2 linked regions of the Cricetulus griseus genome follow. The protein of the gene in region 1 purifies or fractionates together with the protein of each later gene. This does not show direct contact. Links are inferred from orthologs where the notes say so. Each region holds a gene or a part of one and is shown on either strand. Other genes may lie near its edges.

Region 1 (3,648 bases):
GAAGTGGGTAGGCAATCCATGCAAAAAAAAAAAAAAAAAAAAAAAGCCCAAGTCATGGGTACAAAGGTCGGAGACCTAGGGAGTGCAATCAACTGATTTCAGGTACCTGGAACTTAACCCTTGGAGTGCTTGTCTTAGTCCAGGCGCTGTATTGTAGCTACTGTTGTTGAGCCTCTATTAGGTCCATATTTGTCTGTACCAGTCAGAGTTTCAAAAGGTTGTTCCCACCTTCTTGGACCTGGGAAGACAGTTTCTGGTGTTCATTCCCGTTTGACAAGCAAGGGGAGTGAGGCTTCCTGAGGCTGGTAGATGTGGATGGCCTCAGAGTCATGCTCACAGAGCAAGTTCTTATGTTCCTGCCCGACTCACACCTGGTGCCCTCTTTACTCTTTAGGCTCTGATCACTGGAAGACAGCTGAGAGGAAGCTGTTCAACCAGGGCATCGCCATCTATAAGAAGGATTTCTTCCTGGTGCAGAAGCTGGTAAGCAGGGGCGAGCAAGGGGTCCTGTGGTCACTCAACAAGTGGCCTGATGGCAGGGTGCTTGCCTAGTGTATCTGAGTCACAGCCATCACTGCAGTTAGATCTCTGCCATCAAGTAGCTCCAGAGACAGCTTTGTAAAACCACAGCTTGCACAGATGATCCTCCGCTGACCTCTGAGCTCTCCAGACAGGACTTTAAGCCTAGATGTGGGTGAAGGGGGGTGGGGAGGGGCGGGCGGGTGCAGACTTGGGGGACATGTGGGAATGTATTGCTCAAACCAAATCCAGTGGTCAGATAGAGCTATGAAATGGGAGGGCAGCTGTCAGTCTGAGAGGACCACAGGGATGGTCTCATGGTCCTAGCATCACACCACATACTCTTCACGCATGAAAAAAACGGAAATTAGGAAGGTGAGTGACTTGCCTTAGGATGCACAGCCTTTTGGTGGCAGTTAGTAGCAAGGCTAGGAGGGCCTTCTGCTTCCTCTCTGGGTTTTCCCTGAGTCTTCCCCACATGACGTTTCTCTTCCTTACTTGGCACTGCTCCCTAGAGAGCAGTGAAACCATTCCCCAGATTGATGCAGGGAGTTTGCACTGCTGTACTGGGGCCGGCTTTGAATGTGGAAAGATGCCCAGGTGCTTCTCCATTTACTAAATGAGAAGAGAAGAGTAACTCCACATACGCCCATTAAAAATGCCTTGCTGAGGGCTGGAGAGATGGCTCAGCAGTTAAGAGCACTGACTGCTCTTCCAGAGGACCTGGGTTCAATTCCCAGCACCCACATGGCAGCTCACAACTGTCTGCAATTCCTGTTCCAGGGGACCCGACACCCACACACTGGCATAATAAATGCACGTAAAATAAATTTTTAAAAAGTGCCTTGCTGAGATTTACTGGTTTTACCGTTTATCCTGGTTTCTTTCTCCATCTGCATCTAAACACCCACCATGAAATACACACATCTCTCTATTCATTCTCTCTGTTTCAGCTAATCATTGAAAGTAAGCTATAACTGGGCTTGGGGCTGTCTAGGCCTATAATCACAGCTATTTGGGAAGCTGTGGTAGGAGGATTGCAAGTTCAAAGCCAGCTTGGGCTACTGAAGTGAGTTCAAGGCCAGCCTAGTTACCTTAATGAGACTTTGTATCAAAATTCAAAAAAAGGAGGTGGGGTAGGTTGGGAGTACTATTTAATGGTAGAGCATTTGCCTAGCTTGTTCAATCCCCAGTACAGGGCACAGGGGTTATATTCAAATAAAACTGTCCTAAGCATTGGCAAGCAGTGTAAACTGTATGTTGAGAGGCGTGGTTCAAGAATCACTTTACTTACTGTTTACATGTGAGAAAGCAGACATTGGGGTGGTGAGCCCCTTTTTACCTGAGGACTCCAGGAGGAGCCGTGTGCACCTCTGAGAAGTTGATGAGGGATAAGAAAGCTCAGTCAGTCATACCACAGGTGCAGATGCTGACCCAGCCAAGGCTGCTGAGCCCCTGCAGGTCTTGCTGGCCCAGTGCCGCTTCTCATGGCACAGCCCTCTGGTATCTAGTCCACGGTCGAATCTCCCCGGTAGTTTTGCTATTGTCCTTCATTGAAACGGTGCAGAAGCTTCCACTAATTACGCTGGTTGTGTAGCAGGCATTGAAATGGGGTTTGAGGTTTAGTTTTTTGTTTGTTTTTTTGTGACAGGGTTTCTCTGTGTAGCTTTGGAGCCTGTCCTGGAACTCCCTCTGTAGACCTTGAACTCACAGAGATCGGCCTGCCTCTGCCCCCTGAGGGCTGGGATTAAAGGGTCTGCCACCACCGCCCGCCCTTGGTTTTTTTGCCTAAGGCTAAGGGAAGTATGCAGAGATGAGAAAGGTGAGCCACTTCAGCCCCCTCTGACCTCCGTTTTGGCTTTAATTCAGATCCAGACCAAGACTGTGGCCCAGTGTGTGGAGTTCTACTATACCTACAAGAAACAGGTGAAAATTGGCCGCAATGGAACGCTCACCTTCGGCGACGTGGATACAAGGGATGAGAAGTCAGCCCAGGAAGAAGTTGAAGTGGATGTTAAGGTTAGTCCTTTCTCAGCCTCTGTTGCCTCAGACTGTAGCACCAGAAGCTTAAGGCCAGACAGACTCTCCTAGAGTTTATAGATGGTAGACAGGGGGAAACATGGTCCTGAACCTTTGAATTCTCCCATATCAGCTGCCGGGTCATAGTGATAAGTGCTGATGAGCGGCACCAGCTTCACCTTCCGGTCTCCTCAGAGCAAACCGCTGACGTCACTTCTGAGCTCTAGCCCTTCTTGCACCATGATCTCTGCTGTCTGTGCCCTAACACAAGCCACTACCACTAATTCTTTCATGTACCATACTACTTTCATTATTCATTTTTTGAGTCAACTCATTCTTTTTTTCTCAAAAGGGAAGCTTTATATTACAGTCATAAATAGATAACCAGTATTGTTTCCTATAAATAGAAGGTGCCGGGAAAGGCAAGTTCACATGAAAACCAAACACTGTTACTAAACGCCAGCTCCACGCTGTAATTGCCTGCCTGGCCTCTGAGGCACAGGGCCAACTTGTCTTTTACACAGATCACCAGGTCTAGGGAATCACTAACCCCGACCTCGTCCTTGACAGATGCTGTGATACTGTCTCTAAGTCACAAGGCCGTACTTGGTGGCATGCTACTTTGAGACCAGGGAGTAGTTTGGTCCCCATATTGCATATGGGAAGTAGAGATACAGAAAATGTCACAGATAGTTAAACGGGAGCTCAGTTCTCCTGCTTGGCACACTCTGAGGTCACCCTGCCCAAAGGGTGCCCAGAAGATTCCAGGCATCTCTCCAGGAGACCAGGTGGTTTGTGGGTGCTGGCATGCTCCCTCCCTAACCCTGGCTCTGTCTCTCCCCCCCCCCACCCCCCCCGAGGGCACCCAGGGTCAAGACTACTCTGTTTCTGGGCCAACTGGCCATGGGAATTCTAGTGTAAGAGGCTACCCTGGCCCAAGACAGGGCGGCGGGACCAGCAGGTGCTGTGGAGCCTTGGCTGGATTCAGAGTCTGCTCTCTGGAATGACTGAGCTCATGTTTGTCCCCCATAGACTTCTCAGAAGTTCCCAAGGGTGCCTCCTCCCAGAAGAGAGTCCCCAAGTGAAGAGAGACTGGAGCCTAAGAGGGAA
Region 2 (3,648 bases), on another chromosome or scaffold:
AGTTCGGTGGTCTTGGCAGGTTCTGCAGATAGTCCTTGGGTAGCAGAGACTGGTGTCACAGTGGGAATGGACAGAGTGCTCTATAGCAGTGGGGTGCAGGATATCACACTGTCCTCAGATGGTTGTGGATTAGGGGAGGCCACACAGGGTCTTTATCCAGGATCAAGGGCACAGAGGACCACATAGACCCAGGGCTTCTTGGTAGGTTGTGTGGAAGACTGATTTTTGGGACCCTCACTGGGATTGTGGTCACAGGGCTCCAGGGTGGTGCAAAGGGTGCGGTTGGTATTGGCTCTGGAGACCTCCCTTACCAATGGTTCTGGGTCATAGGACACCTTTCAGTTTGAGAATGATGAAGTAAGTGGGGTCTGCCTTTACATCTTGTAAAATCATTTCATACCTAATCAGATTGAGGTTTGTAAGAACTTTTTACTTTGTTTTTGTGTGTTGGGAGTGATATGAGTATGGCACGTTAAAGGATACCATGCAAGAGTCAGTTCTCTCCTGCCATGTGGGTGGGTCCTGGGGATCAAACTCATTGAGCTTTACCTGCTCAGCCCTTCTGCCAGCCCAAGCTACAAGACTTGTGTTTTATTTGTATTAACTGAATGAATGATGCTGTTAAGTTTCTTCCCTAAAACTTGCTTTAGAGCTTAGGAAGTATGTCTACAAATACTGGATCATACACCTGTTTATTTTATTTTTTTTTTATTATTTCCTTTTTCAGATTTGTGTTGCTTGATCTTCTAATCATTTCAAACTAAGTCAAGTTTTTTGTTATGGAATAATCTCTTAAGATCTGTTTTTGTTTATAGGATATTGGTGCTGGAAAAGGAAAGTACTATGCTGTCAACTTTCCCATGAGAGATGGTATAGATGATGAGTCCTATGGACAAATTTTTAAGCCTGTAAGTACTGCTTTCAAAAGTAAAGTGGAGTTGTAAAATATCCTTAGATACTAATGTGTCTTGTTCTGAGTCTAGATAATCTCAAAAGTGATGGAGATGTACCAGCCTAGTGCTGTGGTGCTGCAGTGTGGTGCAGACTCACTGTCTGGTGATAGGCTTGGCTGCTTCAATCTCACTGTCAAAGGTAAGCGCTGCTTCCCACGAAAGTTCTCACTGTGGAGCGCTGAAGAGATGGTTAAGAACCTGGGTTCGATTCGCAGCTCCCACATGATGGCTCATGACCCAATGTTATTCCAGTTCCAGGGGATCTAGCACCCTCTTTGATTTCCACAGGCACCAGGCATCGCACATGGTGTACAACATACACATTTTTTAAAAAGTATTTTGAGAAAAAAAATTTAAGTTCTCATTGTTATTTTTTGCTTGCCAACTTGATGACTTGATGCCAAACTTTGTAGTTGTATGGGTTTTTTTGTTTTGGTTTTTTGGTTTTTTTGGTTTTTTGGTTTTTTTGGTTTTTTGGTTTTTTGAGACAGGGTTTCTCTGTGGCTTTTAGAGGCTATCCTGGAACTAGCTCTTGTAGACCAGGCTGGCCTCGAACTCACAAAGATCCACCTGCCTCTGCCTCCTGAGTGCTGGGACTAAAGGCGTGTGCCACCAACACCTGGTTTGTAGTTGTATTTTCAGTGGGTTTTTTGTTTTTGTTTTTTTCTATTTTTTTTCCCTTTTGTGGGGGGTGGGGTGGGGTTATGTGGCTGACTAGTAATCTTGTTTCCCAGCAAGTCCTTCCTGTGTTGCCATATTTGTGTTTATACATTTATCCATGAATAGTTAGTTGCCATCCTAACTGGCACAGGAGTTGTCAGTGTTTTTAATCCATTATATCAGTTTTAAATAATTTGTTTGCTGTTACAGTGATGAGGATTTGCTCTGATCTGCATGCTCTTCCCACATCTGTTCATAGCTGTAAGAATCTGGGCCATGGCCATTGCTAAACAGCAGCAGCACACCAGTCACTTTTTTGCTGACTTTTTTGTTTGCTTAGTTTCCTCTTTGCTCATTACTAAACTGAATTTGGAAATATATTCTGCTCAGCTGTATCAGGTGCTCCGTCCCTGACCTAAGAATGGTCCTCCTGTTTGAACTAAGTGTCCTCCTGGGTCTAGTGGGACATAGAGCCCTCTGCTTCTGTTTTACTACACCTCCCTGATCAGTGTGCTCTCCATTTCCCTCTTAGTTGTTACCTCTGGCAGAACACGTTTGTTTTGTTTTTGTTTTTTGAGACAGGGTTTCTTTGTGTAGCCCTGGCTGACCTGGAATTCTCTTTGTAGACCAGGCTGGCCTCCGCCTCCCACGTGGTAGGATTAAAGTTGTGAGCCACTACCACCTGGCTTAGAATAAACCTTTTTAAAGAACAAGCCTTCATAGTAAAGTTAATGTTTGGATCAGAAATGGCTTGTCATGCACATTGCATATATTGCAGTAAAGTCCTTTTTTTCCAAGTGAACTTTGCAGTAGCAATTAGCTTTAAATGAAGGCATCTTACTTTGAATTCTCTTATAAGATGTAAAGAATCCTAAAATAGCACTTTTAAAATAACTAAATATAGATGTTAACAACTACTTATGATTGCACTCTGCAGACCAGCCTTAGGACTGTGGTATAAGTCTGTTACCCTACTTCGCGTGTATTGAGTTGGCCACACAAAATTAGTTGCCCACTTTCTTGGTAGGTCAGCATTCAGTTAGCAGCACTGTCAAGTTGTTGCCTCAGAAGTGTTACTAACCATTTAGTGTCAAAGCAGATAGGAGTTCCCTGAAGTGACCTGTCTGATGTGCCCTTCTTTCTTGGTGCTAGCAACTTATACACTGCAATGAGCAGTAACCCCACTTCTAGTGTTTATATTTAAAAGTAGTAGTTTTCATTATAAACTGCATTTGACCCTTACAGTATATATATGTTGTGTTTCAGAAGGTAGAGGAAGTTCATTTGTGTAAAGCACATAAGGATGTTTGTAATTCCATTTTAAGACTTAGAATAAATGCACTTTCCTACGACTAGCCTCAGCTACATTCTCTCAGGCCTAGTGAAGTCAGCCACCTGATGTCCAACTTGCTCCACTTAATTGTTTTTTCCATGCTTCTTCCTCTTTGGGGTTCTAGCCTTCATTTTATAAAATCCCTTTATGGTTACTTGGCCTGGGCTGGGTGGTAGTATGGGATGCTGTTTTGCTGCTGTTCCTGTAGTCTGCATAGAAACTTCTGTCCTCACAAATGTCCACATGGTTCTATCAGAAACACTTGTTCCAGCAGGAGATGCCAGTTGACAATTACATGAAGGAAACAGTTAATTAAACATAAAAATAAACTTCCCTTAGTTAATGGTGATCTTTTTTCTTTATGTCATTTTAATTTTTTCCAAATTACTTTAAACTTTGTTATGAAAAGGTTACAAAAATCAACAAAGCATCACACACTGGAGTTAACCAGACCCCAAGACGGTAACTCACTGATGATCTATGCTGAGCGTTGCAGTGAAATATCCACCCCACACCTGTAGCGCTGACCACACTCAAACAGATGTGGTCACAGGTGCAGACATGATGGGTGGGTTTAGGTCTGGGGTCGGGACAGGTGGCTCTCTCTTGCTTCCGGTGGGGTCACAGAGGGCAGCCTGGAGCTGGAACTTGTGGCCATCACCACTTCTTGTATGAGTGCATTCTCCCTCTTATACAGTTACA

What was found.
Region 2: the proteins of Mideas (region 1) and Hdac2 purify together in Homo sapiens (affinity purification with mass spectrometry; 5 studies listed by BioGRID and IntAct, with this or other methods). This does not show direct contact. The link is inferred for Cricetulus griseus from reciprocal best matches to the Homo sapiens genes MIDEAS and HDAC2.

Annotation. Positions count from the first base shown.
Region 1 is NC_048598.1:119,604,476-119,608,123, forward strand, and holds part of Mideas (mitotic deacetylase-associated SANT domain protein), read left to right. Parts: intron 1-394; coding exon 395-483; intron 484-2,388; coding exon 2,389-2,538; intron 2,539-3,570; coding exon 3,571-3,648.
Region 2 is NC_048595.1:259,855,830-259,859,477, forward strand, and holds part of Hdac2 (histone deacetylase 2), read left to right. Parts: intron 1-815; coding exon 816-908; intron 909-983; coding exon 984-1,092; intron 1,093-3,648. UniProt on the Homo sapiens protein: Histone deacetylase that catalyzes the deacetylation of lysine residues on the N-terminal part of the core histones (H2A, H2B, H3 and H4).